3 linked regions of the Oryctolagus cuniculus genome follow. The protein of the gene in region 3 purifies or fractionates together with the protein of the main gene of each other region. This does not show direct contact. Links are inferred from orthologs where the notes say so. Each region holds a gene or a part of one and is shown on either strand. Other genes may lie near its edges.

The links. Proteins that work in one complex are often made in the same cells at the same time.
Region 1: the proteins of MCRIP2 (region 3) and ATXN2 purify together in Homo sapiens (co-immunoprecipitation; 3 studies listed by BioGRID and IntAct, with this or other methods). This does not show direct contact. The link is inferred for Oryctolagus cuniculus from reciprocal best matches to the Homo sapiens genes MCRIP2 and ATXN2.
Region 2: the proteins of MCRIP2 (region 3) and DDX6 purify together in Homo sapiens (co-immunoprecipitation; 5 studies listed by BioGRID and IntAct, with this or other methods). This does not show direct contact. The link is inferred for Oryctolagus cuniculus from reciprocal best matches to the Homo sapiens genes MCRIP2 and DDX6.

What each region holds. Positions count from the first base shown.
Region 1 is NC_091452.1:8,885,085-8,887,781, forward strand, and holds part of ATXN2 (ataxin-2), read right to left. Parts: intron 1,632-2,697; coding exon 1,486-1,631; intron 673-1,485; coding exon 445-672; intron 1-444. UniProt on the Homo sapiens protein: Involved in EGFR trafficking, acting as negative regulator of endocytic EGFR internalization at the plasma membrane.
Region 2 is NC_091432.1:111,492,141-111,495,790, forward strand, and holds part of DDX6 (probable ATP-dependent RNA helicase DDX6), read left to right. Parts: intron 1-285; coding exon 286-408; intron 409-887; coding exon 888-1,016; intron 1,017-3,337; coding exon 3,338-3,454; intron 3,455-3,650.
Region 3 is NC_091450.1:34,051,921-34,055,670, reverse strand, and holds the start of MCRIP2 (MAPK regulated corepressor interacting protein 2), read left to right. Parts: upstream 1-1,044; 5' UTR 1,045-1,150; coding exon 1,151-1,202; intron 1,203-1,283; coding exon 1,284-1,413; intron 1,414-3,358; coding exon 3,359-3,486; intron 3,487-3,687; coding exon 3,688-3,750.

The sequences.
Region 1 (2,697 bases), on a different chromosome or scaffold from region 3:
TGGTGTGATGTCTCTGGAACTCCAGGACTCCCACCTTGGAGGGCTGAGTCTGAAGTCCATGATCCCTGCCAAGCTTGCGTGTGTGTGTGTGCGTGCGTGCACGCGGAGACAAGAAATGTATGTACACACATGTATAGTGATAAAGCTGTAGAGACATAGCAAAGCAGACACAGAAAGGAAAAGAGTGGGCTGCATTCCAAAGTCAAAGATGTTCTGAAGGTCTCAGGTGGGCAACGTTCAAGGACTGACCAATTAGCAACTCTGCTGAGCCCATTACAAAACCACACATACATTAATACAGGGCCAAATCACGTGTGTTTGAGCGGGAAAAGGGAGAACAGGCAAACAGCGTCACACACAGGGTTTCCTAGCTGGGAGAGCGAGCGGCTCTTCGCTGCTTGTCTGATAACCTTCACCGTCTACCTGCTCTGACAGCTGGCTTACCTGAGGTACGTGGGCCATGTGGGCTGGGTTGGTATACGCCGGCTGGACGTGAGAAGGGTGGATCGTGAAGACGGTCTGCTGTGCTGCTGGGAAACCGCTCTGTGGCGACTGCGTGTTGGAGGCAGGTGTCATGGAAGGGGGGGTTGGAGCGAGCCCCGCGTGGTAGATGGCTGACTGCTGCTGTGGACTGGCCAGGTGGAGAGCTTGGGCGGCCTGGTGCTGATGGTGCTGCAAAATGATGGCGAACAACTGAGAGGAGAACTCCAATGCACTCCAAGCAGCTGGAGGTTACAAAAAAACAGGCTTCACATGGGCCCAACTGGCGTGAGGGGTGCTGGAAGGCACAGGGAGTGACAGCAGGGCTGGGGGCCTCCTGTCTAGAGACAGCCCTTTCTGGAACACAGGAGCCCAGTCCTCAGTCTGGCAGTAACAAACTCCCAACCAAACAGTGGTCAGCCAAGACCTCCGCCAGAGATGAAGCCAAGCCAGCAAGGAAAAAAAACACAAGTCTGGGCAGTTCAAGCCAGCAGCTAAGCTGCTGGCGAAGGTGCCAGCACCCCTGTCGGAGTCCTGCACCTGCTCCCTGGCTCCAGCTTCCTGCCAGTGCAGACCACAAGAGGCAGCACTGACGGCTCAAGTACTTGGGTTCCTGTCACCCACACAGCAGACCTGCACTAAGTTCCTGACTCCCAGCTGCAGCTTAGCCCTGGATAATGGTTGTTGTGGGAGTGAACCAGCAGACAAGAACTCACTTGCCTCTGCCTCTCAAATAAATCAAATTTAAAGAAAAAAAATCTCATCAACTTTTAGAATGAAGTAAAAAAGTCCAAAGGAAATAGGAATGTTAAATTATGAACATTTTGTCAATAAGATTTTCCAACATCAATCTGTTTCCAGAGCCCATCCACTTGTCCCCCACCCCAGGGCCCAGCTGTGCACTGCAGCCCTGAGGGCGGACGTGCAGTCTGACCAGGGAGCAGGCCAAGCCTCGCCTAGTGCTGGACACAGCAAGGCTCTGCAGGCCTCCAGGCAGCTCCTTACCTGAACAGGACTGGGTGCAGGATGACTCCCACCATGCTGACTCTGCTGCTGTCCGGTAGGTGTCGCTGAAGGCTGAGGATGTGGAGTATGTGGGTGCAGGGTAGCATTAGGATGTGCGTACTGCTGAGCAAGGGAGCCCGTGGAAACTAGAGTGGAAGAGAAGGGAGCATGTGCATCCGGCGCGTGGTGGCCCTCCTCACCAGGCCCCCCCGCCCAGCCCTGGCGGCAAAGCCTCTATCAAGCCACGGCCAGTCTCAGCAGCGGGCTCCATTTACACCCGTCACTGTCTTGAAATAATAACTTTAACAAGAAGACTAGTCTCTGATTCATTATCAAACTGATTAATAAACAGCTGTGTGTATATACATATATATATAAAATCCAATTTTTAATTCACTTTAAAAATAGTCACTAGGTTTTCCTGAAAAGGCTACATAAAAGCATAGGCAGAAATAACTCAAACAGCTGTGCAAGATACACACACACACACACACACACACACTCCCTCCCGCTTCAGTTCAAGGCCATCATCTGGCTAACCTCACCATGCTACTGCCCTGGAGCTGGCACAATGTCCTGCAGCCACAGACTACAGGGGCTGCATCAAGTATGAGGCAAGGTCAGGGTTCTACTACCAGGGCCAATGACCACAAATCTCTTTCAGTCGATCACAGGAGCTGCTCTGACGCTCAGCTCATTCCCCAGGCCCTACTCAGTCTTCCCACTTCTGCTTTTTAAAAATCTAGATGAAATGACCTGACCTACACAGAAAAATTAACTTCCCTCAAAGTGTTCCAGCCCTTTAGAATGAATTCTACTGGCTAGAATGACTTCAAAGAAAACGTGATCAGTTCACATTAACATGTTTATGGGGTCTGTGCTGTGGGATAATGGGTAAAGCCACCACCTGCAGTGCCAGTATCCCACATGGGCACCGGATGGAGTTCCAGCTGTTCCACTTTTTTTTGGGGGGGGGGGCAGGCAGAGTGGACAGTGAGAGAGAGAGAGACAGAGAGAAAGGTCTTCCTTTTGCCGTTGGTTCACCCTCCAATGGCCACCAAGGCCGGCGCGTTGCAGCTGGCGCAGCGCGCTGATCCGAAGCCAGGAGCCAGGTACTTCTCCTGGTCTCCCATGGGGTGCAGGGCCCAAGCACTTGGGCCATCCTCCACTGCCTTCCTGGGCCACAGCAGAGAGCTGGCCTGGAAGAGGGGC
Region 2 (3,650 bases), on a different chromosome or scaffold from region 3:
GAACTTGTACTGTTAACCACTGTACATAACTACCTCTTTAAAGAGAATCACATTAAAATTCTGCCATGGAAAACAGGGTTTAATTGGTCTGGAGTTTTTTTGTAAAAGATGGAGGTTATATAGACTTCTCATCTGAATCACTGGAAGTTTGTTACCATTGAACTTTGTGTCTTGGAGTGAATTTCCTGTTTACAACTAGGAATATTACATGGATGCTTTTATTCGATGTTTATTCTTTGACATTTTTAATTTTTTTTCAAAAAATGTTTTTTCTTTGGTCAACAGGCAGATAAGTTGCTGTCACAGGATTTTGTGCAGATAATGGAGGATATTATTCTCACGCTACCTAAAAACAGGCAGATTTTACTATATTCCGCTACGTTCCCTCTTAGTGTACAAAAATTCATGGTGAGTATAAACTTCTGCAATGTCATCCTTCTGCATGTGACTTTGATTTATCCATAATTACATCTTTTATTGATGTATCTGTATATGCTGATTATTTCAACTTTTTGCCCTTCAGCTGCTCTGTTAAGATTTTGTTGTATGTAAGTTAACATTTTTTTAAAAAGCTATTAATAAGTAGTTGCTTGGTTAAGTTCTTCATGTTTTACCTTGCTTTTCTCAGGCTGACATAGTCATTGATTCTAATAAGTACATTGATTACATTATCCTGTATTCAAAATAGACCATAATAACTTTGCTACATTTCTGAATCTGAGATACCACATCTTGTGGTAATATGTTTCTTCCATGAGACGTGATGTATTCTTGTTTTGAAGAGAGATCCCTTAAAGCAAATGTTTGACAGGAATGTTAGTATATGTTTTGAGTTTAAAAGAAAATCTGCTTTCATTTAAGCATGTCTTTTTTTCTTTATTTTTCAGAATTCCCATTTACAGAAACCCTATGAGATTAACCTGATGGAGGAACTAACTCTGAAGGGAGTAACCCAGTACTACGCATATGTAACTGAGCGCCAAAAAGTACACTGCCTCAACACACTTTTCTCCAGGGTCAGTAGTAGCTTCCCTTTCTGAATGACAGTTGTAGCAATTTTTCTACCATCTTCACTGTAAAGTCTTGTGTTTCCTTACAGTTTCATGTGTTGATCTCAAATTGATACTGTTTGATATAGTACTTTTATTTTAAAATAGCTTGATATTAATACAGTTGGTCCTCATTACTCAAAAATTGTTTGTGAATCTGTCTACTTGCAGATTTTTTTTTTTTTTTAAGATTTATTTATTTACTTGAAAGAGTTACACAGAGAGAGAAGGAGAGCCAGAGAGAGAGGTCTTCCATCCACTGGTTCACTTCCCAAATGGCCACAATGGCTGGAGCTGTGCTGATCTGAAGCCAGGAGCCAGGAACTTCCTCTGGGTCTCATACATGGGGGCAGGGGCCCAAGGACTTGGATCATCTTTCCCAGGCCATAGCAGAGAGCTGGATCAGAAGTGGAGCAGCGGGGACTGGAACCAGCACCCATAAAGGATGCTGGCATTGAAGGCGACGGCTTTACCTGCTACGCCACAGCACTGTCCCCTTTGCAGATTTTTTATAACTTCCAATTCAATACTTGATGCCCTTTCACAATTGTTTGTGGATATTTACAATGTGGCAAAAAAATTGAGTCAGTTGATAACACACATTCTCAGTTAAGGTCTAAAATGGCAGTACTGCTTTTATTTATTTTTACTTATTTATTTATTTGAAAGTCAGAGTTATACAGAGAAGGAGAGGCAGAGAGAGAGAGAGAGAGAAGGTGGGGGGGTCTTCCATCCCACTGGTTCACTCCCCAATTGGCTGCCACGGCCGGAGCTATGCCTGTCCGAAGCCAGGAGCTTCTTCCAGGTCTCCCAAGTGGGTGCGGGGGGTCCAAGGACTTGGGCCATCTTCCACTGTTTTCTCAGGCCATAGCAGAGAGCTGGATCAGAAATGGAGCAGCCAGGACTCAAACCAGCACCATATGGTATGCCAGCACTGTAGGCATTGGCTTTACCTGCTACGCCACCAGCCCCTGCCCTTTTTTTTTTTTTTTTTTTTTTTTTTTTTTTTTTTGAAGGCAGAGTGACAGAGATAGATATCTTCCATCCACTCTCCACTCCCCAAATGGCTAAAACAGCCAGGGGTAGGCCTGCTGGAGTCAGGAGCCAACAATTCCATCTGGATCTCCCACGAGGATAACATGAACCCAGCCACTTGAGCCATCATCCTCTGCCTCCCAAGCATTTTAGCAAGGAGCTGGATTAGAAGTACAGAGTAGTCAGGACTCAAAGTGGTACTCTTACATGGATACAGGCATTGCAAATGGTAGTTTAACCCACCTACCACAATACTTGCTCCAGGCAACACTGCCTTCTGGTTTTAGCTGTCACACTATGAACAGATGTCCTTTTCAGAGTCTGTTTAGTGCCCCATTTTTTATGCTTTTTAAAAGTTGATTATTTCACTGTTTAAAATGACCCTTAACACATAGTGCTAAGGTGTTGCTTGGTATTCCTCAGTCTCAAAATATTGATGTTGGGATGTGCCTTGCAGAGAAAATGTGTGTTAGGTAAGTTTTTTGCAAACATGAGTTATCATGGTATTGGTTTTCAAGTGAATACGAGACATCCTTAAACAGAAATATGTATAAAACAAAGTTACATACTGCTGTATTAATGAAAAAGTTATGATCAGAAGCCTAGTACTGTATTTCCCTAATAGCACTGATTGTATTTTTTCTAAATCAGTGTTTTCAGTGATTTTATAGAAAATGAGTAGTGTGAATAAAAATTGGCTATATCTTGCACATTGGCACTTAATGTGATCCTTGTGAAATACACTGTTCTATAATAAAACAAATTTTCTGCAGCTATTAAGTTGGATAAGAACTTAAAAGTTTCTTTATACCTTTTTCTCTGATGTTATTTGAAGGGCAGAGAGACAGATCTGCTGGTTCACATACCAAATGCCCATAATAGCTGGGGCTGGACCACACCAAAGCTAGGGAGTCCAGAATTCAGTCCAGGTCTCCCATGTGGGTAGGAGGGACCCAAATACTTAAACCTCTTGTTGTCTCCTTAGAGTACACATTAGGAGGACGCTAGGTAGGAGGAACTGAGCTAGGACACTAACCCAGGCACTCTGATACAGGGTGTAGATGTCCCAAGTGGTATCTTAAGTGCTGTACTAAATGCCTGCTCCATATTTACAATTTTTACAACTTCTGTCTCTTGTATTTTGAGATTCTGAATTTTAGACCATGTTATTAACATTTCTTTTTTACTAATCAGTATTTTCAAAACTTGGCAAACCAACTTAAGATTTTTGTTTTTCCTTTTCATCCCTGTAGCTTCAGATAAACCAGTCAATCATTTTCTGTAATTCCTCTCAGAGAGTTGAATTGCTAGCCAAGAAGATTTCTCAACTGGGTTATTCTTGCTTCTATATTCATGCTAAAATGAGGCAGGTGAGTATAAAACTAGAATTTATACAGATTGAACAAAAAGAACTTTCTAAGCATTTCATTATTTTGTTTTAATACTTCTCTAAATGCTCTAAGTATCCCTTATTAGCCAAAGAGCCCTTCTAAAGTAACTCTCTGATGTTCAGTTTTGTAATAGTACATATTCATACTTCATAAGGTTGTTAGATTGAAATAATGC
Region 3 (3,750 bases):
GGGGTCCACGTGGTCAGTGAAGCCCCCGCCTTCGCTGCGTTCCAGAAACTTCCTCCAGCCGTCCCCCTCGGCAGGGCCGAGTGGACCTGGCTCGTGGTGGGGGGGTGACGCCAGAGCAGCCGGCCAGCCAGGCCCTGGGGGCCTCCGGGGCACCCCTCTGCGGGCAGAAGCCCAGCCCGAGCCCAGCCTCGGCTGGAGGGTCAGGGCACAGATTTTAGACCTGCAAACCCAGCGAGGGCGGTGGGAAACTGGGCCTCCTGCATCTTGGACCTTAACCCTCAGCATGAGCTTCTTCCGGAGAAAAAATAAAATCTCTGTTGATGAGATTGACAGGGGCCGGTGGAGAAGACGCCTTGTCCTCGCTGCCCTCTGCGGGGTGGGGCCTGGACGCCGTCCCTGCTCCCTGCTCCCAGGGTCCCTGGCCTTGGTCCAGTAGGTCGGAGAGAACAGGATGGAGAGCTGACCGGGACAGCCCGGCCACCCTGGGTCCCAGGGAGGCCAGGAGGGAGGAGGAGCAGGTGCAGGTCGGGGGAGGGCTCCTCCTCCAGTCTGGCCACCCCACTGCTTTCCAGGTGTGCAGGTGCCCACAGCAGCCTGAGCGCCCTTGCTGGACCCCACAGACCCTGCACGTTGACAGTGCCCTGGGCTGTCAGCTCTCAGCAGGGGGCCCGAGGCCGCGAGCACGGAACCCCCGGCTGCGGACAGCTGGCGCTGCGGGCCGGGACGGGGGTCTCTGAGCAGCCCCTGCCTGGGAGGGGTGAGGGTACCGGCTCCATCCCAGACCCGGAGGAACGCCCCGCCCGGCCCGGGCCGCCCTCGGGGCTGGCAGGGGCCCGACCACCCACAGCCGAGTCCGGGGGCCGAGCCCGCGGTGGGCTAGGCGGACGGAGTCTCCCCGGCGTCCGCACAGACGCCCGCAGCTCCGCCCCTGGCCACGCCCCCCTTGCCCCCGGCTCTCCGCGAGTGGCCGGAGCCCGCGGGCCCTTTAAGGGCCGGGGGGCGTGGAGCGGACCCGCCCCCTGTCGCCGCGCCGGCCCCGCTTAAAGGGGCCGCGCCCTCTGCGCCCGCCAAGTGCGAGGCAGGCGGCGGGCGCGGGACTGGCCGCTGCGCGTGCGGGCGAGCGCGTGGGCGGCGCGGCGGCCACTCCGCCATGTACACCATCACCAAGGGGCCCAGCAAGCTGGTCGCGCAGCGCCGCACAGGTGCGCCGGGCCGGGGTCCGCGCCGGGCCGGGGTCCGCGCGGGGACCCGCGGCGGCTGACGCGCCCTCCGCTCGCCCGCAGGTCCCTCGCAGCAGCAGGTGGAGAGCAGACTCGGCGAGCTCCTGAAATGCCGGCAGCCCGCGCCGCCGACCCTGCAGCCCCCGCGGGCGCAGCCCTCCGCGCAGCAGCCCGGACCCTGGCCCCTGTCGAGGTGAGCGCAGTCGCGGCCCGGGGTCACCTTGAGCGGAGGCGGGAGGGTCCCTACCACGTGCGAGCACCGCGCGCCGGCGCCCCACTTCCGCCTCACCTGGCCAGGCCGGGGCCCGGGCAGGTGGGCGCACAGCACAGCCTCCTGTCGCGTGAGCTCGGAGGAGGCCGGGCGACCTTGGGCTGCGGCGCCCAGACCCCCTTTGGAGCCGCTGCTGTCAAGGTCTGCGAGCTGCCCGGGCGCGGGCCCTCAAGGTCTCGGACTGCGTCCTTGCGCAGCTGGGCGGGGAGCGGTGCACGTGTTTGCCCCGGGCCTGCCAGGCAGCTGCCCTTCGGCGCCCTTCGCCCGGGACGCCCTGGGCCCCGGGGCGCCCCGTCCCCGCAGCAGAGGCTGAGGCTGCCAAGGGCGCGAGGCCGCCGCGCCCGGGCCGGCTGAACCTTTCCCTTCCTTGGCCCCGTCCCGCGGGCGGTTGGAGTGCTTACTCCCGGCCGCGGCGGACTTTGCTCTGGCCCCGCCCGGGTGGGGGCGCTGCGCAGGGGCCCAGCGGCCCGGGACCCCCTGAGGCAGTGGAGGGCGGGCAAAGGGCGTTCGGGCCCGCACTTGTTCCCGGTAGTCAGATGCCCCGGGCGGGGGCCTCTGTCCTGCTCTCTGGGGAGGCTGCCACACACCACCCAAGCCCGGAGCACTGTGGCCCAGGGCCAGGTGCCCGCCCTCCTGCCCTCCGAGACCCCCTGGCTGGGGAGGGGAAGGGGGGGGTCTGTGGCAGAGTTGGGGGAGGGCCAAGGCCCTCTTGCGCACCTGTTTCCGTAAAGGCCAAACCTGCTGGGCAGGGGTGCCCACCCCCACCAGTGGGCCCCCACGTGCCCCTCCATCCCTTATGGGCCACTCCACACCAGCTCTGCTTTGGCCCCCATCCCGCCTTTCACCCCCCACCCCCCTGCTGACCGGGGACCCGTGGGGCCGCTGCTGGCAGTGGCCGAGGCCGAGTCGGGGCAGCAAAAAGCCGGGACGGGCAGGGTGGGCCCCGTGGTCTCCTGACCCGGGAGAAGTGGCGGCAGCTCCTGTGTGGCCAGGCAGGGACTGGGCCGTGAGGTCCCGACCGTTGCCCCCACCCGCAGACATGACCCGCAAAGCTGCTGGACTCGAGGCGGGCGGGTGGCCTGCCTCGCGGGCCGTGGAGGGGACGCGTGTCCGGGGCGCACACTGGGGCCCGGGCGTCCCCCGCAGGACGGAGCCAGGCCCTCGGTGCAGCTGCTTCCTGCGTCTCCCCGAGCGCCCCGGCCTGCAGCTGGCAATGGGTCGGGGTGGGGGTGCTTTCCGAGTTGAGGACGGAGCTTTATGGCGAACCCCGGCTTCACAGAGCACGCAGGCCGGGGAGCCCCGCCCCCGCCCGGTCTCCCCTGCGGCCCTCAGACCCCTGCCGGCCCCTCAGGACGCTCCTCTTTATTGTAGTGGCCCTCTCAGCTGAGGAGGAAGCCAGAGCAGCGCTGGGGCACCTGAGCCCAGGACGCGAGCAGGACTCCCGGCTCCCACCTCCTGCTGTAGGTGCGGCCCCTCCCCTCGCAGGGCTGAGCTGGCTGCCGCTGGCCGGGGCGGGCCCAGCGGCCCCCTGGATGTCACGAGCTGCCACGCGGGTGGGGGGCCATCTCGCTCCGCGGGGAGTGGGGCCAGGCTGCAGCCACTCTGCCTCTCAGGGGCTGCCCGGTGCCCAGTGCTCAGCCGCCGGGGGGCCTGGGGGCAGCCTGGGAGAGGGACGGACCGACAGAGACCACCCTGCTCCCACGACCCCGAGAAGCTGTGCCGACAGAACCGGGGCCCCTCCCTGGCCTGCATCGCCCACCTCCCTCAGGGCAGGGCCGCAGGTGTGGCCGGAGCCGCGGGGGCTCGGGGCCACCGGACAGTGGCCAACCCACCAGGTGCCGACCACATGCCTCTTCCCCTCCCGCAGTCCGGGGCCCAGGCTGGTGTTCAATCGCGTGAACGGCCGGCGGCCCCACGCCACGTCCCCGTCCCTGGAGGGCACTCAGGAGACCTACACGCTGGCCCACGAGGAGAACGTCCGCTTTGTGTCCGAAGGTAGTGAGGGGGCGGCCTGGGCCCCTGGGGCTCCTCCTGCTGCAACCCGACTCCCACGGCCGCGGGGCAGGCTCGGCTTTGGCAGGCGGCCAGCTCCCTGAACACACTGCTCACTCCCTGTGCCGGGCTGGAGTCCAGGGTGACCCCGGGTGCGAGGGGCTGCCGGGGGGCCTGGCTCGGCTGACTGCCCTACCCCCACAGCCTGGCAGCAGGTGGAGCGGCAGCTGGACGTCGGCCGGGCCGGGGAGCGTGGGCCCAGGCCTG